5 linked regions of the Ovis aries genome follow. Each later gene encodes a partner of the first gene's protein in a complex. Links are inferred from orthologs where the notes say so. Each region holds a gene or a part of one and is shown in the gene's direction. Other genes may lie near its edges.

The links.
Region 2: IQCD (region 1) and IQCG share a complex: the UniProt entries of both Homo sapiens proteins name them as parts of the nexin-dynein regulatory complex. The link is inferred for Ovis aries from reciprocal best matches to the Homo sapiens genes DRC10 and DRC9.
Region 3: IQCD (region 1) and DRC7 share a complex: the UniProt entries of both Homo sapiens proteins name them as parts of the nexin-dynein regulatory complex. The link is inferred for Ovis aries from reciprocal best matches to the Homo sapiens genes DRC10 and DRC7.
Region 4: IQCD (region 1) and DRC1 share a complex: the UniProt entries of both Homo sapiens proteins name them as parts of the nexin-dynein regulatory complex. The link is inferred for Ovis aries from reciprocal best matches to the Homo sapiens genes DRC10 and DRC1.
Region 5: IQCD (region 1) and CCDC153 share a complex: the UniProt entries of both Homo sapiens proteins name them as parts of the nexin-dynein regulatory complex. The link is inferred for Ovis aries from reciprocal best matches to the Homo sapiens genes DRC10 and DRC12.

The regions. Positions count from the first base shown.
Region 1 is NC_056070.1:61,298,250-61,303,034, reverse strand, and holds the start of IQCD (dynein regulatory complex protein 10), read left to right. Parts: upstream 1-1,810; 5' UTR 1,811-1,912; intron 1,913-4,785. UniProt on the Homo sapiens protein: Component of the nexin-dynein regulatory complex (N-DRC), a key regulator of ciliary/flagellar motility which maintains the alignment and integrity of the distal axoneme and regulates microtubule sliding in motile axonemes.
Region 2 is NC_056054.1:191,026,505-191,031,307, forward strand, and holds the start of IQCG (dynein regulatory complex protein 9), read left to right. Parts: upstream 1-1,633; 5' UTR 1,634-1,749; intron 1,750-2,019; exon of another isoform or gene 2,020-2,256; intron 2,257-2,382; exon of another isoform or gene 2,383-2,428; intron 2,429-3,643; 5' UTR 3,644-3,785; intron 3,786-4,803. Other genes in the region: RPL35A (large ribosomal subunit protein eL33), read right to left, coding at 143-310, 510-520. UniProt on the Homo sapiens protein: Component of the nexin-dynein regulatory complex (N-DRC), a key regulator of ciliary/flagellar motility which maintains the alignment and integrity of the distal axoneme and regulates microtubule sliding in motile axonemes.
Region 3 is NC_056067.1:25,268,704-25,273,444, forward strand, and holds the start of DRC7 (dynein regulatory complex subunit 7), read left to right. Parts: upstream 1-1,571; 5' UTR 1,572-1,576; coding exon 1,577-1,598; intron 1,599-2,919; exon of another isoform or gene 2,920-3,276; intron 3,277-4,712; coding exon 4,713-4,741. UniProt on the Homo sapiens protein: Component of the nexin-dynein regulatory complex (N-DRC) a key regulator of ciliary/flagellar motility which maintains the alignment and integrity of the distal axoneme and regulates microtubule sliding in motile axonemes.
Region 4 is NC_056056.1:33,576,729-33,581,256, forward strand, and holds the start of DRC1 (dynein regulatory complex protein 1), read left to right. Parts: upstream 1-1,358; 5' UTR 1,359-1,423; coding exon 1,424-1,578; intron 1,579-4,179; coding exon 4,180-4,267; intron 4,268-4,528. UniProt on the Homo sapiens protein: Component of the nexin-dynein regulatory complex (N-DRC) a key regulator of ciliary/flagellar motility which maintains the alignment and integrity of the distal axoneme and regulates microtubule sliding in motile axonemes.
Region 5 is NC_056068.1:29,498,502-29,503,153, reverse strand, and holds the start of CCDC153 (coiled-coil domain-containing protein 153), read left to right. Parts: upstream 1-1,482; 5' UTR 1,483-1,706; intron 1,707-1,825; 5' UTR 1,826-1,837; coding exon 1,838-1,907; exon of another isoform or gene 1,908-2,192; coding exon of another isoform or gene 2,193-2,232; intron 2,233-2,305; exon of another isoform or gene 2,306-2,310; coding exon 2,311-2,376; intron 2,377-2,745; coding exon 2,746-2,889; intron 2,890-3,427; coding exon 3,428-3,676; intron 3,677-4,652. UniProt on the Homo sapiens protein: Component of the nexin-dynein regulatory complex (N-DRC), a key regulator of ciliary/flagellar motility which maintains the alignment and integrity of the distal axoneme and regulates microtubule sliding in motile axonemes.

The DNA.
Region 1 (4,785 bases):
CTGTGCATCAATGGCTTCTTAAAAAGTAGGCAGTTTAAAAATGAGCACTATTCTTTGCTGCTAAGACTGTAGCGCTCTACCCAGCAAACTTCCTGTGAGATTTTTTTTTTAAGTTTCCTCCAGATCTGGGGATTCATTTTACTTTTAAATCTCAGTGGTGGGAAAACAGAAAAGGAAATTCCAAATGAGATGCTACCATTTGGCTGTCTTAAAGCATTTTATGTCTTTTCTTTTTTTTTTTTTTTGGCTTAAACTTTTCACCACAGATACTTTCAAATATACTCAAATGTAGAGAGAATATGTAAATGAACTTCCTTGTATTGATCACTCAGCCCTGACAATTATTAACATCTTGTCCTGGCCAGTATTTATTTTGAAGGCTGGAGAGGCTATTAACCTTTTCAACTCATCAAGAAGAGCTTTCCTAATTATATCGTTGTTATTATAGTAGCTACTGGCTTTTATTTTAACTGTATAATATATGACTGTTTGCTTGTAATGAATGCATTAGTTTTGTGGCTCTCAGAGGGGGTTATCACAACAGAGACATATGTGCCTCAATATGTGAATAGTGTTGCTGTTAGGAAATTTTACTCAGCTGATGTCCCCACTTCACAATGAGGAAAGTGAGGTTTAGAGGGGTTAAATTAACCGACCTCTTGTAAGTAGACCGCTGGGAAGTAATAGAGCCCAGATTTCAACCCAGGCAGTCTCACCCTCCCTGCTTAACCATTACCCTTCCTCTCTTCCCAGACCAGTCCCCTCATCTGAATTCAAACCCATAATTTTAGAGAGGGAAAACTGAGGCTCGGGGAAGAGAAGGGACGTTACTTAAAGTCACAGTGCTTCTCCCTCTAGAGAGGACCCAGAATGGAAGGGTCACCCCTTAGGGAAAGGTCCCAGGGAAAGCCGGCAGGCCGTCCCGCGCTCCACTCGGGCAGACGGACCGGGCAAGAGTCTCTTGCAGGGTGGGTGGACTGAGGGCTCCAGGGAGATGAGCATTTGAGAGAGAAAGGGGAGCGAAGAGGCGTGCGGGATTCTACTCCACGTGTTCGACTTTGAGCCCCCTCTCCCGCCCCGGGCTTCCTCGGGCGGTCCCCACGCTGGGCCCCCTCCCCACATCAGGACTGGAGGGAGAGAAGCGCAGCAATGAACTTCCCCGCAACCCCTCTTGGCCCGACCTGCCCGCCTCCCACACCCAAATACCCAGCCGCAACCTTTCACTCCGAGCCCCCTGCCCCTTGACCTCTGCCCTCTCCTCTGACCATCCCTCACATGCCTCGAATTCTTACACGCGCCGCCCCAGCAACCCGGACCGACCGCCGGGGTCCGCACAGCACAGCACAGCCCGCCGGCGCAGCCGCCAAAGCCCCGAGCCCGGAGCTGTTGCAGCTGCAGCAGCCGCCGCAGAAACCGCCACCTCAGCCGCTGCCACCACGGCAGCTGCGCCAGCTCTCCCATCCGCCGCCTACTGTCCCCTTCGCCTGGCCGGCACCGCCCCAGTCCCCCCTTCGCCGCGCCCTATTGGCTAACTCGGGCGTCATGATGATCTCTGATTGGCCAATCCTTACGTCCTTCCCCAGTTAATACAAGCCTCCTTGCCCACCTCCCTGGGGAAGAGAGGCGGGACAAAGAAGCTCCGCCCCTTTCACGCCTATTCTCCCCGCCTTACTCGTTCAGCTTAACCCTGAGGGACGCCCGGCTCTTCCAATTGGTGGAGAGTTAGACACACCTTGTTTCTGATTGGTCAGTCCTCAGGAGGTGGACCAAACCGAGGGGAATAAGGAATCGAATGGCGAAAAGGAAAGTTAATCAGACACCGAGTCCCGCCTTCTGAGATTGATGGGTAACCTAGCAACGCAGGAACAGCTGTGGTAACCAAGGACAGAAAAACTTAAAGACCACCGAGCAGGTGAGTGATCATGTGGGGAAGGGCTGGAGATGATGGGGAGATGTTGAATGGGATCTAGTCCTCTTATCTTTTTGACACTCTGAGGAATCAGCATCCCGTCCCCCCTCCCCCCACCGCTAGCCCGTCCCCAGCTCAGGACCCTGATCTCCAGCCCCTGCCTCAGTCTGGACGTCCCTCTCGACCTTCTGCAAAGACGACTGGGCGTCCTCTTTGGTGTCTCTGCCTCTACTCTGCCCTTCCTCTTGTCCACTTCATGGTTCCACTTCCTCATCCGTAAAACGTGGATGATACTAGTCAAGTGGACTCACAGCTAAGTTAAACTACTTTCAAGTTACACATAGGTGTTGGGGGTGAGAGAGTAGTTTTATAAGTCCCCTACCATTCTGTCAACAGCTTATAAATCCCAAGGTGAGCATGCAATGAGAGTGAGTGTTTAAATTATGTACCTTTGTACCAATGTTGGCCTTTTGTGCTATAATAACTTTAGACCTTAACTTCCATCACTGTCCTTAAAATATAATTTCATTTACATACTCAAGAGAAAGGGTTTGTTGCAAGGATTAACTAAAACAAAGTAGAATAGTTGTCGCCAGGGGCTGGGGGAGTGGGAAACGGGCAGTTATTACTTAACTGGTACAGAGTTTCAATTTGGGATGATGAAAAAGTTCTGGAAGGCAGATGGTGGTGATGGTTGCATATAGATATGAATGTAACAATTTAATGCCACTGAATTTTAAATGGTTACAGTGGTAAACTTTATGTTGCCTGCATAAGTGCTCAGTTGCTTCAATCAAAGTCAGTCGCTTCAGTTGTGTCTTGACTCTGCAAACCCTTGAACAGTAGCCCGCCAAGGCTCCTCTGTCCGTAAGATTTTCCGGGCAAGAATACCTGAGTGGACTGACATTCCCTCCTCTACGGAATCTTCCCAACCCAGGACTCCAACCCGGTCTTCTGCACTGAAGGTGGATTCTTTACCCCTGAACTTATGTATATTTTAACACAGTAATAATTTTTCAAAGCAACTATAAAGCTAGACAAAACCATCTATTGCTAAATTAGCACTCTGAAAATCAGCCAAAGGCATACAACAAACTGAGAGCTTTTATTCATAAAACCACCGAACTTCAAGTTTGTTTTGTACTTACCTGGGACTTCTCTGATTTCCCCATACTCAGTTCTATCTGGCATAATAGTTCAACGAGGGCAGGTAGCCCCCTGAAAACCAAGAGCTTCACTGTCGCTGTCTGATGGGGCTCACTTGATTTGGAGGACTCTTGGCTAAAGTAGCAATCTTGGTGGGACGAGAACAGGGAACGCCAGCGGGTGTAGCAGTCCAAGGTTGTAGTTCTATTCGGCGCCAACAGTGCACTGAAAACTTGGAGTTCTGGGGAATGCGGCATCCATGCGGAACCTGATGAGCTCTGTCTTACCTTGACTGACTAGAGGTTATGCGCATGTGCAGCAGAGACCTGCTCCGGCCCAAGAGACTTAGAAATGCTTGGCCTTTGGAGCCTGGTGTAGACAGGTGTACTGAGTGCATAGGGTACTTGCCATCCAAGAATAGGAGCCTTACTGGTTCAAAGTGTGAGCACAACCCCTGACTGATTTTTGGCTGAATATTAAACTATGTGGATACATAGGTGACCCCTAGGAAGCCAAGTTTTAAAATAAAAATATGCAAAAAAAATTAAGCAGAGATATCAGTAGCTGCACACCATGGAGGAGACTGACTTGACAGATTTAGTCCAGGAAGTAAATTACCAAATGCCCAAGCAAAACAAAAACAGCAATCATTAGGAAAAAAAAATACTGTGTTGCTACCAAAAAAAATTTCCCTCTAAGATTTCCAGTGTTCAATAAAAATTGTGAGATGTGTGTAAACATACTCAGGGGAAAAATGCAGTCAATAGAAACAGTCTCTATGTGTCCCCAGATGTTGGTTTCAGCAGACAAAGACTTCAAAAAAGCTATTATAAATACGATCAAAGAACTAAAGGAAACCATGTTTAAATAACTGAAAGAAGACAAGATAACAATGACTATCAAATAGAAAATATTTAGTATCCCAGAATAGATTATGATAAATTAAGGTGTACATTATAATCCCTAAATCGACCACTAAAAAAAAAAAAAAAAAAAACACTCAAAAAATATTTTAAAAATCAATGGAATAATTAAAAGAATGGACTAAAAACATTTAACACAATAAAAAGCATTCAGTAAATAGCATGGGGACAAAAAAGAAAAGGCATGAAATGCCAGAAGCCAGTGTGAGGAATCCTGCCCGTGACAAGGTCATGAGGAAGGAAGCTGACATACGCAAGGTCGTGATCAGACTTCAGAGTTCCCCCTGGCATTTCCTGAGCATGTACCCCCCAAAACCAAAAATCTGCCAGCCTTTGTACTCTGCTTTTCCACTTTTCTGATATTCTCTGGAAAAAAGTCAATTCAGGGCTTTAGTCTTCTGCATTTGAAAGGAATGTTTCAGTTAAACCCCCTCTGATTGCTCTCTAGCTTGCCTAACAGGTTCCCCAGACCTCTTGTGAATTGCTTACAGCCCCCCAACCGTGAGAGGCACAAGGCTTAGAAGCATCTTAAAGATACAGAGCCATTTCTAAAGAGTTAAAAATTATATTGGTAGAGGGTTTTTGCTGTTGACTCAATGACTGCTGCCAGGCCTCCATATTCTTTATCTTTTAGGCACCTGGGAGGATATTAATCAATATAAACGGGATATGGAAAAAGATATATAGTAGTTCTGATGTTAGCAACACTAGACTTTTGAGTTAACTACTTCTCTTTGTTATATATCACTGCACTCCTCTTGTGTCCTTGCTATGTAAGAATGTAACTTTACTTAGTGCTTTCTGAGA
Region 2 (4,803 bases), on another chromosome or scaffold:
AGTGCAGTAGACATCTACATCTAACACTACCCTAAAATTGCTTAAAATCCCAAAGTAAAAACCACAACAGTATCAATTACTTTACCAACTTAAAATGAGACAAATCAAGTAAAAACTCCAGAGTATAATACTATAAACTTACTTCTTTGCTTTGTACACATAAGCACATCTCTTGCCTAAATAGAATTCAGTTTCATCTCGAGCATATACACCTTCAATTTTCAGGAGAGCAGTGTGTTCCCTTTGGTTCCGTAGACCCCGTTTATAGCCAGCAAAAATTGCCTTGGACCACAGCCTAAGACAAAATACACTGTTAATTCTAAGCTGTTAAAATCTCACTTAACTTCAACAAGCAACAGCTATGGTTTGACTTGTGATGATCCCCACCTAAATTTACCTACACCAAACATCTATTTTTTTTCCCCACCAGACTTAAACTTACATTTACGATCATGCCTTATAAACAAGTACACTTGTAAGTACAAAGCAATGATATTTAAAACACATACCTTCCAGACATATTTGTCGTTTTAGAAGTCCCGTTCCCAGCAGGCCTGCAAACAAAAATACTCAGTTTAAAACCCCGCAACGCCCGTTTCCAACCTACTAGCTTCCTGTGGAACAGCACCCCAAACTCAAAGAATGCTAAGTAACTAAGCAAACGCCAAAATGAAGATAACTAAAGTGGCAAAATTCTACAGTACAAGACATAACTGCTAGAAACACCAAAAGAAAGTCTTAAGAACAACACTTTTACACACTTAAGTCGCTCAGTCGTGCGACTCAAGAGTCGCGACTCTTTGCGACCCCCACGGACTGTAGCCTGTCAGGCTCCTCCGTCCTAGGGATTTTCCAGGCAAAAGTGCTGGAGTGGATTGCCATTCCCCTCTCCAGGGGGCCTTCCTGACCCAGGAATCGAACCCGAGTCTCCCGTATTGCAGGCAGCCGCTTTACCGTGGGAGCCACCAGGGAAGCCACACTGAACGGGAAAGAAAAGCTAAGGAAAGACACAGTAAACATGCAGAACACAGGTTTGAGGTGGCAGTAAATGGACAAAGAACCCTGCCTAAAGGTGCCGCTGCTGCCAGACAAAATGCATCTGTTTTGTATTTTACTCCGCTAGGGCCCGGAAGCAACTGGTTACCGGAGCACCCATTCTCGGAGGTCAGGGAACCAGCACCATCAGTCCCATATCTCCTCCATCCTGTCCTCCCCGTTGCTGGAAATCACAGAAATCGTTAGCTGGTAGAGCCTCGGAGTCACACCCGTGCCTCGTCCGAGGGATATAGCCGAGCCTACCCCACTTATTTGCCCCCAAAGTTCAGCTGCAGGAAGTCTACACACCTTCACAGGGTCCAAGATGGCTGAAAGAGACCAGCGAGGACCCGCCGCGTGGTCTTGTGGGTAAATACATCTCCGCCCCGCCCCCGTTTAGGTAACTTCCGCGACCGCCAAAAAAGCCTCAGAAATCGCCTTCTGACTGAAATGAACCACGCTCAAAATCACCTGTACAATTCTCTCCCTAAGTCCTTTTATCTTTGTAAGCTGCAAAATGTATTATTTTGGAACACAGGGAGGCAAAATAGTAGCCAGCTAAAAGAGAAGAAAAGGTCCTCCGAAGCTGTCCGTTGCCACAGAAACACCTTAGCTTGGTTCCGACGGCCTCCGGGGGTGTAGTTGGCAAAGTGAAGCCGGAGGGGAGGACGACCTACGCTTCGAGTACCCTAGAACTGGTTCGCCAACAAGCGGGTATTTTTCCTTCTTACCACTTAGGAGTAGGGCAAACGGAAGCTCTCGGATCCTAGCCTGGAAGAGAAAGACCGCGAGCAAGAAAGGAGGAGAAAGCTCTTAATTCTCTATACCTTTCCTACCCCTTTGCATGCATATATACTCAGTCGCGTCTATTTGCGACTCTATGCACCGTCCTCCACCAGGCTCTACCCTTGGGATTCTCTAGGCAAGAATACTGGAGTGGGTTACCGTGTTCTCCAAGGGATCTTCCCCACCCTAGGAGCTTACCTGCATCTCTTGGATTGGCCGGCGGGTTCTTTACCACCAGCGCCACCTGGGAAGCCCTCTTCTGCCTTTCTGCGACCTTGTTCAGTCGTGTCCGACTCTTTGCGACCCTATGGACTGCAGCGCGCCAGGCTCCTCTGTCCATGGGGTTCTTCAGGCAAGAATACTGGAATGGGTTGCCATTCCCTCCTCCAGGGGATCTCTCCGATCCAGGGATCGAACCAGCGTCTCCTTTGGCTCCTGCATTGCAAGCGAATTCTTTACACATTGAGCCACCTGGAAACCACCCTCCGCCCCTTACCACCCTTTTAATCCTTTCCTCCTTTTACCCCTTTATCTCTTTAGAGAAATGACTTAAGTTCTTACCGCCGTTCTTCGTTTTGACTCCGAGGGTGAAGAGAACATCCCTGACAAAGTCTTGTTGCCTTTTAAGGAGAACTCAGCTGCCAAAGGGCTTTCCTGGTGGCTCAGCGGTAAAAAAAAAAAAAAAATTCCCCTGCCTATGCAGGAGATGCAGGTTCCATCCCTGGGTTAGGAAGATCCCCTGGAGAAGGAAATGGCAACCCACTACAGTATTCTTGCCTGGGAAATCTCATGGACAGTGGAGCCTGCCAGGCTAGAGTCCATGGGGTCACAAAAAAGTTGGACACGACTTAACAACGACAGCAGTTGCTAAACTCCCAAGTGCCTGCCACCTAGCCCATGTCCAATTGGTCTTCAGTAAATATTTGTGCACTGGAATGGGATAGCTTAGTGGATGCCTGAGATTTACCTTTCCTAATTATTGCACATTATTTGTGTTGCTCTTTGGAGAATCCATATCAATAACCTCAGATATGCAGATGACACCACCATTACAGCAGAAAGTGAAGAGGAGCTAAAAGCCTCTTGATGAAAGTGAAAGAGGAGAGCGAAAAAGTTGGCTTAAAGCTCAACATTCAGAAAATGAAGATCATGGCATCCGGTCCCATCACTTCATGGGAAATAGATGGGAAACAGTGTCAGACTTAATTTTTGGGGGCTCCAAAGTCACTGCAGATGGTGACTGCAGCCATGAAATTAAGACGCTTACTCCTTGGAAGAAAAGTTATGACCAACCTAGATAGTATATTCAAAAGCAGAGACATTACTTTGCCAACTAAGGTCCGTCTAGTCAAGGCTATGGTTTTTCCTGTGGTCATGTATCGATGTGAGAGTTGGACTGTGAAGAAGGCTGAGCACCGAAGAATTGATGCTTTTGAACTGTGGTGTTGGAGAAGACTCTTGAGAGTCCCTTGGACTGCAAGGAGATCCAACCAGTCCATTCTGAAGGAGATCAGCCCTGGGATTTCTTTGGAAGGAATGATGCTAAAGCTGAAGCTCCAGTACTTTGGCCACCTCATGAGAATGAGTTGACTCATTGGAAAAGACTGATGCTGGGAGGGATTGGGGGCAGGAGGAGAAGGAGACGACAGAGGATGAGATGGCTGGATGGCATCACTGACTCGATGGATGTGAGTCTGAGTGAACTCCAGGAGACGGTGATGGACCGGGTGGCCTGGCATGCTGCGATTCATGGGGTCACAAAGAGTCGGACACAGCTGAGCGACTGAACTGAACTGATGGATTCATTCTTTTTTTCCAACAGTTTGTTGAATGACTGACTACCATGTACGAAATTTTCTTCTTGGCTTGGAGGATGCTGCGGTAAACAGAACAACAGAAATCTGTGTCCTCATGGAGCTTACATCCTAGTAGGAGAGCAAGACAAGGAGCAAGTAAAATAGAAGGTGGTGTGAGAAAAAAATGGTTCATGGAGCTTGGCTCTAGCTGGGCAAAGTGGTAGATACACAGCAAAATGCCACTGGTTGAAGCTGGTACCTGATGGACCAGTAGGACTTTACAAGGTGGAAGAGATTAGGGGAAGAGTGGTTCAAGCTGAAAGAATAGCATATGCAAACACCCTGAGTTAGAAGAGAGCATGATTCTTTAGAAGAAAGAGGCCCACTGAAGCTGGACCCATGAGAGCAATAAAAGGGCAGTGCTAGATGCATCTGGAGAGGAACAGAGGAGCAGCCCTATGGTCCAAGTTAAGAATTTTAGTTTTTTTCTTAAGTTAATGGGAAACCATTGAGAGGTTCTAAGAAATACAATGAAATTTTCAACTTTATACGATGAGCCCTTTATTTCAAAAAGATCACCTTTAATTTGGAAGCTGTTAGAGTAGTTCAAGCAAGAAACAACAGCTAGATTCAGCAGGGTATTGGGGGAAATAGAAATTGAAAGTAAAATCCACAGGACCTGGTGATGATTTGAATTGGGGGAATGCTGATGTCAGGATGAAGGAGGAAGCAGAAATGACTCCTGAGTTTCTAGCGTTGAGGAATGAGCAGCCAGAACTTGAAAGCACTAAGCATAGGCCTTTATTACTTATGTGAGGCATACTTACTGATGCCCCAGGCCTGAGAAATAAAGAACAACGCAGCAAAAGAACAAAATCTTAACAGCATATTACTTGCTTCTAAGACTGCCCTTGTACTGGAAAATTTAGCTAGTTTGGAATATTTTTTTTTCCACTTTATGTAAAGATTCTTTCAGTTCAGTTCAGACACTCAGTTGTGTCTGACTCCTTGCGACCCCATGAACCGCAGCATGCCAGGCCTCCCCGTCCATCACCATCTCCCGGAGTTCACTCAGACTCATGTCCATCAAGTCATTGATGCCATCCAGCCATCTCATCCTCTGTCGTCCCCTTCTCCTCCTGCCCTCAATCTTTCCAAGCTCAGAGTCTTTTCAAATGAGTCAGTT
Region 3 (4,741 bases), on another chromosome or scaffold:
CTTAGCAAGTGTCTAAGAAACAGAAAAATATTAATACAATATCATTAACACCAATTAAAAATGCTGACAGCATGAAAAAGAATGCTCGTTTGGTGGGGAGTTGGGGAGCGTCCGAATGATGCCTATGTGGGCTGGGAATGGGTAAAGAGGAATAAACAACTATGTGGAGGAAATTAGGTGTTGCACGAGACAAAAGGAAAAAGGAGACCTATGTTCCATTCCGCCAGTGGCGCATATCACATTTTCCTTTTCCTCTTCCCTTCCTGGCTGCCTCCCAGGTGAATTCCCCAGAGAGGTAATTCCAGGATGAACTCCAGGACTGAAGTCCACATGCCATCTTAGGAATTTTCCCTCCATCTAATTTATCCTTCTCACTTTATTTTATATGACTGCATAATGTTCCAGCCAGAAGAAAAAAAATTGTTCTTTATTATCAAGAATTGAGGTGATGCCTACATTTTCACCAATAGCAGCAACTATACAATCTCGTCCAGACATCTGCAGGATTTCTCTGGACCCCACGGACCCCGACAAGGCAGCATCACAAGTTTTATGGGCCCTTTCCTTCAAAAAAAAAAAAAAAAAGAAGTTATCTTTTGTGACTACATTGGTACGAAGACAAATATAATCCCAGGTGGACTCATAATGTGCATTATTGGTCTATTCATTTTTTCCTTGGAATTTAAAAGAAATTAAAGTAAGCAATTTCATGGGCCACTAACTTAACAAGTAAGTTTTCCCTGTGCCATGAGATTTATACTAAATCAGTGGTCCAGCCTCGACTAGAACCAGGACTTGGGCAGCCTGACTCTGTCCACAATGACAGGCGGGCCATGCCAGGACACACACTGCTTTCTATCTGTTTGATGAAGGCCATACTGAGCATGCAAGCGGAAGCAGTGCTGTCCTGGTAAATGTTTAACAACACTTGATGAGAGAAATCTCTAGTATTCTTGCCTGGAGAATCCCATGGGCAGAGGAGCCTAGCAGGCTACAGTCCACAGGGTCGCCAAGAGTCAGACACGACTGAAGCGACTTAGCACGCGTGAGAAGAGAAAAAGTCCTTTTCTGCAGCATTTGCCAGTCTCTGTGGTATAAGTAAGCTCATGGACCATTTTAAGCTACCTATGTGACATCACTGAACAGAGCTGGAAAAAGATGCAGAGCAGCTTACCCTTACATAATATTTTCATCGTATAGATAACAATAGGGACAAATAACCTCTGGAGCTCAGATAACAATAAAATGCAGTAAAATAATTAGGAAGTGATGAGTTTTGAGTACTTCTTACCTCTGCTTTTAGTATAGTCTATTTACTTGTATGTTTTTATAATTTAAATTTTACTAATGACAGGGTTCATCAGTGGGTTCACAAACATTCCTAAAGCTTTAACCATCAGTTCTTGCAAACTGGCACATGAGCTGCTTCCAGCCCACCGCTGGCTGAGGGACATACTGCAGTGGGTCTCCTGGACCCAGACCTGGTTAGTGACAAAAGACTACATTTCCCAGAAGCCTCCTCTCCCAGGACCTGCCCTCGGCCTGGAAAGCTGTTACCATGGAGACAGGCTAACAGATGGTACAGGCTGTCCTCAAGGGTGAGATGGGAGCTGGGGTGTGGGGTGGCTGAACCCCACCTGGCAGGGAGGAGGGCAAGGGCGTGGGCTCTGGTGGTAAGGGGGATTCTTCTGCCTGGGGCCTATCAACCCCAAACTTTCTGGGGAAGTTTTCAGTGTGTGTGTGTGTGTGTGTGTGTGTGTGTGTGTGTGTGTGTGTGTGTGTGTGATGGTGAAGAGAAGGTTGTTGCTGGGGAGAAAGACTCAGGGAAGGGCTTGTGGGGTGGGGAGCGCTGCTGGGCACAGAGTTGGAGGAACTTTAAGGCGGGACTGCCTTCCCCAAACTGTGCTTTAGCTGACGGGGCAGGCTGATGCAGGGAATAAGCGTTGCAAGTCCTGGCTCAGCACCTCTGATGACGTGTTCTGTGACCTTGGCTTAGAGCCCATTTCAGTGGCTGCCCACTGACACCTTGGCCTCCTCGCCTCCTATGTCTTTCCTTACTCACTCCCCCTCCACTAAACCATCCATTCCTTCTAGTATTTTTACATTTTATTAGGCCCTTAAATGCATGGATTTCAGAGCCAGAAATATACAGGTTCATGTATATTTCTGCTCCTTACTAGTTCTGTGACTTTAGGGCAAGCACTTAACCTCTCTAGGCCTCAGTGTTCTCCTCTGAAAAGTGGGTATCATAACAGTATCTGCCTCATAGGGTCCGTAATGGAAAAACTCAGTCTTCCACCTTCTGTGTGTCTCCTTTACTTCTCAGAAAAAACCCTTTGCTTCTGACACTTCTGGTACCAAATATGTGGGTTTTCCCCTCACTGAGTAATTCCTCTTTGAAATATTCATTTATGTATTTGGCTACCTCAGTTCTTAGTTGCATCGCACACAGATCTACATTGCGTCCTGTGGGATCTTTCTTTGCAGCTCAAGGACTCCCTAGTCGTGACGCGTGGGCTCAGTAGTTTTGAGGAATGGGCTTAGTTGCTCCACTGCACGTGGGATCTTAGTTCCCTGACCAGGGATCAAACCGACGTCCCCCGCATTGCAAGGAGGATTCTTAACCACTCGACCACCAGGGAAGTCCCAAGAAATGCTCCATGACACCACTTGGGTGTCCTACAATTCAACTCAATTCTGACACTACCTCCTTGGAGTGGCATCAGATCCCACAGGTTAAAGACTCAGTCCCACAAGACTCTTCCCACTCACTCCAGATGCCAATAGCAAGCAAGTAGTCGGTCCCGGGTTACCCACAACTTCTGTTCAATGCAGCTACCGATTGGGGGTTCCCATGACCCCTCTCTCGGGTTCTATTTATTTGCTAGAGAGGCACAGAGAACTCAGGGAAACACCTCATTACATTTACCAGTTTATTAAAGGACACAGTAGAGGACACAGATGGCCAGGCAGGTGAAGAGATACATAATGCGAGGTCTGGGGAGGTCTGTGAAGGTCCCGAGTGCAGGAGCTTCTGTCCCCGAAGAGGACATTGCCTTTCCAACCTGGAGGCTCTCTGCACATCCTACTGTTGAGAGTCTTATGGAAGCTTCCTCACAGAGGCTTGATCAATTATTGAGCCCATTTCTACTCTTCTCTTGTCTCTGGAGAATGGAGGAGGGGCTGGAAATTCCAAGCTTCCAGCCACGGCTTGGTCTTTCTGGTGACCAGAAAGACTCCCCATCAGGGAGTCATCCAGGGGGTCACCCAGCCTTGCTGAAACAGAAAAAAAAAAAAAGAAAAAGATGTGCCTGGTGTTATCACTTCGGGAATTATAAGGGGACAGGATCTTTGGTCCACTGTAGTGAGGCTGGGCTCTCTGGCTGCAGACAAGGCCTTCCCTAGGGCGCATGAGCATATATGGCATTTCAGTGTCCATCCACCCCCCACCAGCCCCCACAAAGGTCCTCCATCCTGAGAGATGACGCAAGGGCTTGGCCAGAAGACTGTAGGCTGTGTCACTGACGCCTGCCCCTTATTCAGGTGCCTTAGAGGCAGCCCCATTCTTGCCCTCTCTGTGTTCCAAGTATGGTGATGTTACCTCTTTTTTTTTCTTCCTTGCTGTTATGAATGGCGCCAGAGGTAAAGAATCTGCCTGCTAATGCAGGAGATGTAGGAGACACAGGTTCAACACCTGGCTTGGGAAACAACAACTGTTTGTCTCCAGTGTTGCCAACCATGGTGCCACCCAGTCTCGTGAGGCACTGGGAACCAGCCCTGTTAGCAACTTAGTGACTGAGCATATAGGTGTCATATCTAAGAGGTCTAAAAGATAATTATGAATAAGTTTCTTTGAATTTAGACTTACTGGACTAAGCATAAATATATTTAATAGGAAACTTCATAATACTCGGAGAAGGCAACGGCAACCCACTCCAGCACTCTTGCCTGGAAAATCCCATAGACGGAGGAGCCTGGTGGGCTGCAGTCCATGGGGGTCTCGAAATCGGACACGACTTCACTTTCACTTTCACTTTTCACTTTCATGCATTGGAGAAGGAAATGGCAACCCACTCCAGTGCTCTTGCCTGGAGAATCCCAGGGACGGGGGAGCCTGGTGGGCTGCTGTCTATGGGGTCGCACAGAGTTGGACACGACTGAAGCGACTTAGCAGCAGCAGCAGCAGCCAGAAGGAGAAAGTAACTGGCTGAATAAATATACAAAAAGCAAAGCAAGGTTAATAAGTGTCAGCTACCTGCTCCTGCCCTGACAATAGTCTCAACGTGTGCCCTGCGACATCTCTGCCTCAAGGGGAAATCTGCAAATGTCAGAAAGGTGTTACAGGCGTACTTGCACCATGTGGAGACTTTCTCTCTGATGGAAAGGACGTTTAAGAGGGTCTTGCCTCCTCCCTTTGTGCCCTAAACCAGCAGTCCCCAACCCTTCTGACACCAGGGACCAGTTCATGGAAGACAATTTTTTCATGAACCAGGGGTGGAGGGAAGTGGTTTCAGGATGATTCATTTATTGTGTAATTTATTTCTATTATTATGACATCAGCTCCACCTCAGATCATCAGACATTAGATCCTGGAGGCTGGGGACCCCTAAATTCTAAAGCACATCAAAGCACCACCCAAGGACACAGGTGGTGTCATTGACTCCATTCTGGCCTGAAACTGGCCATTCTGAGTGCATTTAACCCTCCTGCAGCGACCTCCTCTCTAGACAGTCAGAGACAC
Region 4 (4,528 bases), on another chromosome or scaffold:
TTATTGACAAGGGGCTTATCTTCTTTGGCCTCACTGTTGCTTGTGATTTAAGTAGGCAGGCAGTACAGCTGAGAAAACAGTAAATTGTGCCATACCCAAGGTGGCAGGGCCTGTCTGCAATTTCTTACTACCCTAGTGCCCTTTTCCGAGTTTCTCTCAGGCCAGTAGTACAAGGTTCGATCAAATGTTATCCTGCTTGTTTTCGAATGAGTCTTAATGCTACATAAGAACGCGGTGCATTTTTTGTCGCAGTGCGACAATTGACACGTACAAAACACCCAGGAAATAGTGCTTTTCAAGGGACAGTAGTCCTTCGAAAGTTTAAATGTGCTTCTGTGCTCTTAACTTTCATTCCTCCCCCCTCACTCCCTTTCCTACCTGTTTTTCTCTGCTCTCCTCTTTTTTCTGTATGTGATTGCGGGTAGTAATGGAGGGAGTGCAGCCCTACTGAAAACCGCTACATAAGACAACGGTTCCTTGTTGGATATACATTTATTGATGGCAGGGGGTTTTCACATTCTAGAGACGATAGAGGCTGAATACACAAAGTAGGAGCTCAAACACTAATGGATGATGGGAATTCCTCCGCGGCTCAGTGGTAAAGAGTCCGCCTGCCAGTGAAGGAGACAAAGGTTGGATTTCTGATCTGGGAAGATCTCACGTGCCACGGAAGAACTAAGCCTGTGTGCTGCAACTATTGAGCCTGTGCTCTGGAGCCTGGAGACTGTAACTACTGCAGCCAGGAGCGGCAACTACCAGAGCCCTTGCGCCCCAGAGCCCTTGCTCCGCAATCAGAAGCCCATGCACTGCAACAAGGAGTAGCTCCCGCTCGCGGCAGCTAGAGAAAAACGCCTGCTGCAAAGAAGACCCAGCACAGCCAAAAGTAAAGTTATACATATTAATTTTTAAAAAGAATGGATGACAAGCAGGTGGATGCAATGTACTTTAGTTCAGAATTTCTGAGTGAACCTATTATTCTACCCCCTCCATCGAGGAAAAGACAACGCTTGGATCCTCGGAGCTAGCACAGTGATTGGCATAGAGTAGACATTGAATTACATTAGCTGAATACGGTGATTTTGAGGATTATTTATTTGATGGATGAATTAATCATAGGGTAGGTAAGTGATGAATCACAACTTGGTTCAGCTCTTAAGTCTTCCGGCCTCTGTTAATACCACCTGAGCCTTAGTGGGGGATTCAATACAGTCCTCACCGTAATTGCAGCAGAGGAATAAAACCCCAAGCTGAGACAACGGCGCTAAGAACACCAGTGCGCCCGGCCTTAGGGGCTGCGCGCGCAACCACGCCAGCTGCGGGTCAGGTGACTGCATTTCCCTGGCAACAGCTTTGTTGTTAGCAACCAAACTGTAGTCCCACGGTGGTCCAGGCAGGGCTGCCCGGGGGGCGGAAGGCACCTGCCATGAATCCGCCAGGATCCCTGGGGGTCCTGGAGGAGAAGGAGGATGAACATTTAGCCACCCCAATTCTCGGACCCTCCGTACATTCTGATAATCCTCAGGAGCGGATCCAGGCCCGGCGCCTGCGCATTGCGGCGCGCCTGGAAGCTCGGAGGCGGTGAGTCAGGGTTTGGGCGCGTTCTTCCAAGGAGCGCCCGGGGTGCAGGTGACCTGGGTGCTGGAATGAGGGGGTGGCTTCTCCAGGCCGGAGCCCCTGTGGTGAGGGGCTCGCGTGCCCTACGTGTGAGCTGGTCTTGCTTCTTGATGAGATAGAAAACTTTTCTGCCAGAAGGTTCAAACAAAGTATGTGATATTAAAGCATTGAATACACTTAGCAAAGTCAAAGATGGAAACAGGAATCCCTCCAGCACGTTCACGGAGAGCCTGCTGCGCCAGGCACTGTGGGCCGTACCTGAAGATGTTGGGGCTTCATGACCGGTCCCCCGAGATCGTTCTTTCCTCCTTGCCTCCCAGCGTGCCTTCCTTCCACAAGGGGTTACAGAGCAGACCTCGGCTATCACTTCTGTTGGTTTCAGTGGCTTAACTGGTTGTGTGACACAAAACCGTTTTCCTGCAGAGTCTGAGGCTGATAACTGTACCATTCTCAGGCTGGGGTTGCCACCCTCGTCCACTCACAGACTTTGTGGCCTGTCTTAAGAAGGGGGATCGAGGGGAACTTGCGTGAACCTGTGACTGCCTGAACACCGCACTGTGTGACAGCGCTTATACCTCGTCCTGCTGGTCAGGGTCAGCTGCCTTGCCAAGATGGTGCTTCTCTTGTTGTCTGCCGGTCTTTGGACACAAGGGGCCCAGAGTGATGTGGCTGTGTTCCAACAAAAACTTAACTTAAGGACACTGAAATTTGCATTTCATATAATGTTCGTGTGTCACAGAATATTCTTCATCTTTAGATCTTTTTTTTTAAAATTGATACACTTCATATTTTAGAGCAGTTTTAGGTTCACAGAAGAATTGAGTGGAAACTACAGAGGTTTCCCATTTACCCCCTACTTCTACACATGTATGAAGCTACCCTGGTGGCTCAGATGGTAAAGAATCTAACTGCAATGTGGGAGGCCTGGATTTAATCCCTGGGTTGGGAAGATCCCTAGAGAAGGAAATGGCAACCCACTCCAGTATCCTTGCCTGGAGAATCCCATACAGAGGGGCCTGGTGGGCTACAGTCCATGGGGTCACAAAGAGTCACACCCAACTGAGTGACTAACACGCACTCTACACATGTATAACCTCCTCCACTATCAATATTCTCCACCAGAATGGTACATTGGTACAACAGTTGGATCTTGATAAATATATAATGACATGTATCTACCCATCACAGTACTGTACTGAAGAGTTTCACTGCCCTAAAAATCCCCTGCACTCTGCCTATTCGTCTTGATCTTTTCAAAAAACCATTTGAAATGTAAAAAAATCATTCTTCACTCCTGAGCCATACAAAAGCAAGTGAATCAGATTTGGCCCATCAGCCAAAGTTTGGCAGCCCTGAGATAACAGATCAGTGTGATGCTCTGTGGGATATCCAAGTGGTCCTGATCTATCTAGACTCTAGTTTGTCAGCTCAGGAGCATTGACATGGCCCTGCAAGTATGAGGACTGTATGAGTGTGTATTATCTGTTCCTCCTCGATATGAACTTCCTAATCCTTTTTCCTGACTGAGGTAGAAATAGCATATTTGGCTCAATCAGTGGCCACATTCCAGGTACCTAAGGCCACACTTATATGTTCAAGCAAGGACCTGCATGACAGCTGCAATTAGGACTGCTGCTTGCTTGAGCTTGCAGTAATTGACAATCATTTTCTTGGCTCCATCCATCCAGTTTTTGCAGGGACCTGACCAGTGAATTAAATGGTGATTTGATAGGCACCACCACTCCCACATCTGTGAGATTCCTAATTGTACTGTGTGCTCAACCACTCAGTCATGTCCAGCTCTTTGTGACCCTGTGGACTGTAGCCCACCAGGCATCTCTGTCGATGGAATTTTCCAGGCAAGAATACTGCAATGGACTGCCATTTCCTTCTCCAGGGGATCTTCTCAACCCAGGGATTGAATCCACGTCTCCTGCATTGGCAGGCAGCTTCTTTGCCACTGAGCCACCTGGGAAGTCCTTGAGATCCCTAAGGGTGATGCTAATCCCTACCGTAGCCCTGGTATACAGTATTGCTTTTTGTGCACTTGGGTGCAGTTTTGGAGTGTCCATTTGACCTTCCATATGGCTATAGCTCTTACCCACAGGCCAACAACCTAGTGTGAGAATTTCTCAACTTTCTAAGCATGTTAAGATCACCCTTGTTGCTCTTTAGGGAATGGTTTGGAGGAACAAAGATCCTACATGCCACTTGGAGTAAAAAAACTCTGCCTTTCCAATGCAGGGGAGGCAGGTTCCATGGGGAGCGAGCTAAGATCCTACATGTACTCCCTGCATTGGAAACTCAGAGTCTTAACCACTGGACCACCAAGGAAATCCTGGATTGTGTTCTTTTTAGTATTCGAATTTTTATCCCTATGGAATATATTTTTGTATATGGTGAAATATACTATGAAAATTTAAAATTAAATCCCCCAGGCCATGCACAGCTCAGCAGAAAGATTTAAAAACAAAACAAAACAAAACAAGAAGTTAGGAAAAAAAGTGAAAGGTTTTACTTCCTAGAATTTAAACTTCATTTTCTCTACATTTTTTGCCATCCCAGGGAAGCTCTTGGAGAATATTTAGACGGGAAGAAGGAGAGTGAGGAAGATCAAAGCAAGAGCTACAAACAGAAAGAAGAAAGCAGACTGGTAGGAAATGGGGTATAAATGGGTCCCACCAGTCCAGTAGGACCCAGACGGAGGCTTCACTCTTTCTGTGCTGGGCCTTTGATGCAGCAATGCCAAGCCCCGCCCCTCCCCCTCTTCTTCCCTCCTGTCCTCTCCCTTCCCTCTTCCCCTCTCCTCAACCTTGGTTCCCAGCCCAACTTTAAGACTGTCTCACAGCCCAACTTCTCCACGATGTCTGCCGCGAAGCAGGTCAAACTCTTTGAAGTCACACATGGAACTTTT
Region 5 (4,652 bases), on another chromosome or scaffold:
CCAAAACTGTTGAGGAAGACAGAGAAATATCTAAAGAAAGAGTCTGCAGTTCCCTAAATCCACAAGGGGGAAAGCCCTGAAGTTTCTGCTGTTTTCATTTTAGCCACTTTGGTGTTCACAAATCTGGGTGGCAGACAGACAGCAAAGGCTCCCAATAGCAAAAGGCTGGAGAGAGGGGTTTCGGGGAGGGAACAGCTAACCAGGGCAAGCCACTCAGCGTTCTCCCTTCCCCAGATTTATTTTTCCAACTATTCGTGACTCCAGCAAGATGCTAGGCAGCACCCCTAAATGAGGGGTGCCCCCAACATTGCTCCATAAATAATTTAAATAGAAAAATTCAGGAGACTTACTAGAAGGTCAAGAAAATCCACTAGAGGGAGCCCAAATCAACTCAATGCCACAGGGAACCAAGCTGGTTATTTTCTCAGCACCTGTCTGAAAATCAACCACAGACAGGAATAGGGAGAAAGAGGAAATATATTAAGTCACCATAAAAGAAGATAGTCCTGTAAATACCTGGTGAAAATCCAAGCCTTTCAAGATTTACAAAATCAAAGATTTAGGAAACTGAGGCTGAGCAAGGAAAATGACTTACCCAAATTTACATATCTGGAGAAGGGTAAGGATGAGAACTCAAAAGCTCCTGTCTCTAACCAGTACCCTTTCTTCTTGATTTGCATCTATGTCAGGATAGAAGGGCATCGCAACCCACTCCAGTATTCTTATCTGGAGAATCCAATGGACAGAGGAGCCTGGAGGGCTACAGTCCATGGGGTCACAAGAGGTTGCAAGAGTCGAACACGACTGAGGTGACTTAGCACAGCACCTTGAGGTCCTAGGTCGAACTCTCCTCTGTGTCTCATTTATCTGAAATAGGAAACTCTCTCAACCACCATCTCCTGAATTTCTTTCCCTCATTCACCGTAGAATACCTTCCTGAAATCTTCAATTTTAAGCCTATTTAATAATGTCATTTTGTTGATGAGACTTTGGGAAATGTAAATCACCCCAAATGGCTACCGTGAGTTCTTTTCCTCTGTATCAGCGCAATAGCATTATTTTGGATGTGTAAATCTATAATTTGTAAGTGTCCAAATTGCAGGCAGTGCTACATAGAAGTGAATCATATTTAATCAGTTCCAAAGCCCTCTCTCCTCAAACTACACTTAGGATCTGGGGACAAGAAGAGTATTGGCCCTCTGAGACCTTGGTATTTTAAGCATTGTATTTAGCCCCTTCTACCAGACACAATTATAACGACTGAGCAAGCATGCATGTACCTTCCTAACAGCTCCATGTTTCCCAGTTGCCTGGACAACGTGCAGCCTCCAGAAGCCCAACCTTCCAGTTCTCAGTCCCACCCCCAAATGAAATTTGCCACTCTGGATTGGGTCCCAGAACACAATCTCCTCCTCCGGCTCCTAGCTGGTTGGGCCTTTTCTCTGCCCCTCCTGGAAAGTGGGTCACGCCACAGGGAGATACAACAGAGACAAGTGAGGGTCTTGGAGGAAGGAAGAGGCAGGGTAAGGATGATGGGAAGAGAGAAGGGGCCAGGTACTGAGCTTTATTTTCTCTGAAAGAGGGTTGAGAGGAATGATTTCTGTACTTAGAGCTTGACTGGTAGAGAGAAATGGGTTCATCCTTCCCCCTGGCCCCAGCCTTGCCTAAGTTTCCAAGGAAACCAAGAACTGAAGCTTCTGGAAAGTGTAAGAGACAGACTTGGAGATGAGAGCACTAATTCTCCTGGGACTCCTGGTTCCGTCTAGGGAGTCAGGAGAGTGTCTCCATGTCCAGACCTAAATATGAGCCCCCTCCCTCCCTCCAGGACAGGAAGGAGATGCCACCTAAGACCAAAGAAAAAGGGACAAAAGCTGGGGCCCAGAAGAAGAAAAGAAATGCAGGTGCTGGTGAGTCAGACTGGGTGGAGGTGGGTGCCTCCCAGCCTCTCCTTGTTCTGGCTCAGAGACCTCCAGAGAGAATTCATCCCTCTGCGTGACAAGATGGAGCTGTCTTGGCCTTCCCCCTTTATATCCATATTCGGGTGCCATGGAGCTGGGAACATGGGAAAATCAGCACCCATGAATCCCTTCTGGCTGTGTGCCTTCCTTGTATATTCATTACAATCTTTCAAATACCTACTGTGAGCTGGGTAGTGAACTCATTAGGCTTTGCTATCAGAGATCCCTCATTTAATGGTCCTTGTATCTCCCACAAAAAAAAGAGAAGTCCAGGGTATGGGAGGAGGGTGGGAGGAGGGTAGGGAAGGCTGAGATCCTGACAAGCTGAGGGTCTGCTGTCTTGCCAGGGCAGATGTGGAGGCTGAATCCATGCACAGGCTGGCACTGCTGGAAAAGGAGGTGCTCCAAGACCGCTTGGGTAAGAAGGGTAGAAGTTCGGCAACAGAGACAGTGGGCATTTGTGTATCCCTGGGAGCTTAAAGTTTTGGAACAATGGTGGAGGGCTGAGCTGATCTCTAACCATCCCCTAATGGGAAAAGATTGTCAAGAGCTGGGGTCATGAGGACAGGGTGGGCCGTGAGGGTTGATAAAGAAAGCTAACTTTTATAGCTGGAACACAGAGGGAGTTTTTCCCTCTTAGTAACAGAGTCTGTAGGATTCTGAGGCGGGGAAGGGAAACAGAATGACGATGAGAGACTGGCAGGCTGCCGCCAGGTTTCTGAAGGTGGACAGAGTCCATCAAGGCCATGGGGGCTGATTGATTGAGTGGAGCCCCCAACCAGTGCAGAGGGCTGCTCTGGACTGTTCACAGCTCTGCAGAGGGATGAAGCCCGCCGAGCCAAGGCTTCGGAAGACCAGCTGAAGCAGAGGATCAAAGACCTGGAGGCTGAACTGGAGGGGGCCCGGAGCGAAGGGAAGGCCATATATGCAGGTGTGAGGTTGATCGAGCAGGTGGGCGGGAGACAGGGGCCCGGAAGAGGACAACTGGGAGGGCCCAAGGATGCTAGAAAGGGAGACAAGGAGGACTTCGAACCGCCATACCTAGCCTCAGCCCTCCCTGCACCCACAGGAATCCTGAGGGGGCCTTCTGTGGTCTTGGGCAGGAACCTTCCGTGACATGCAGTGCTTTGTGCTTGATGTCCCGTGGACTATGAAACGCAGCCCTAGCCTTTATCTCACTCCTCCCGTGGGAGTGGGTGGGAAGGAGGGCCTGAATTCACATACTGAGCTACCATAGCGGATGGGTGTCTTATTTCCTAGCTCTGTCCCTACCTTCTCAGATCACCACAAGAATCCAGAAGACTTTTTTTTTTTAAGATTTTTTTTTTTTTAATGTGGACCATTTTTAAAGTCTTTATTGGATTTGTTACAATATTGCTTCTGTTTTATGCTTTGGTTTTTTGGCTCTGAGGAATATGGGATCTTAGCTTCCAGATCAGGGATCAAATCCGCGTCCCCTGCATTGGTAGGTGAAGTCTTAACCACTGGACTGCCAGGGAAGGCCCTCAACAGACCTTTATGCACTTGTCCACTGGACCAAGCAGAGCCCTCCCCACCCACAACTTCTGTCCTTTCTCCACTGCTCTCTCCCCATCTGGGTCCCTGGCCACCCACGGCTCTGCCAGAGATGAGTCGTCAGTGCCGGAGCCTGCAGGAGGCGATGCAGAGTCGCACCAGGAAGCTGGAGGAAGAAGTGAAGGGCCTGCAGGAGCAGTTAGGTAGGCTTCCCAGGTGGCCCTAGTGGTAAAGAACCCGCCCGCCAATGCAGGAGACTTAAAAGATGTGGGCTCCATCCCTGGGTCGGGAAGATCCCTTGGAGGAGGGCATGGCAACTCACTCTGTAATCTTGCCTGAAGAATCCCATGGGCAGAGGAGCCTGGATAGCCCCATTCCATGGGGTCACAAAGAGTCAAGCACTAACCGAGTTAGCACGCACACACAGCACACCCTGCCCTCACAGCACTTTCTCTCAGAGGATCACACTGATGTAGTCCAGCCTGAAGGGGTGGAGTTAGAATGGTCTTTCTTTAGAAAACTGCAATTTAAGCTCTCATACTGTCTTCCCCCACTGACTCTTCTACTACTTGCAACAGAAGGTTCAGGATAGCAAAAAATACCCAATCTTAACCTTTTAGTTATAAATGAAGAAGCCCTAACTTTCTCACTGCACCTCCCTCTCTCAATGGTCTCTCTAAAGACAGTTCTTACTCCCCACTGCCCACATGTCTCTCACGAGCAAAACACAGTCTCTCTTAGTTTGGCTGATGTTTAGAATGAAAGCAAGCTTGAATATAACTGTTTGAATTACTTACCTCCGTATCTTCAAGACCTAATGTGTGGTAGGTCCTGAATAACTATTTGCTAATAAATAAATGAGCTTCTAAATAAGCAACAAAGCAAAACAAAACAAAAAACAAACAAACAAACAGGAAGCTTTTGCTCTCTTCCATCTTGGTTAACAGGACAGAGTTGAAAAATTTTAGCATGGCACAGATTTTCCACAATTTTGCCCTCAAAGTTTTCTTATCTTAAAGTAGCTTTAGTTTAGCTTTAGATATCCAAGAGTTGCTGATCTTCCCACGAAGACCCTGAGTTCCTTTCCTAATCTTTGCCTTATCTCAAATGCAATCAGCATTTTTAAGCACCTCCTACATACGAGGTGCTTTCCCACACGTTATCACATTTTTTTTAATG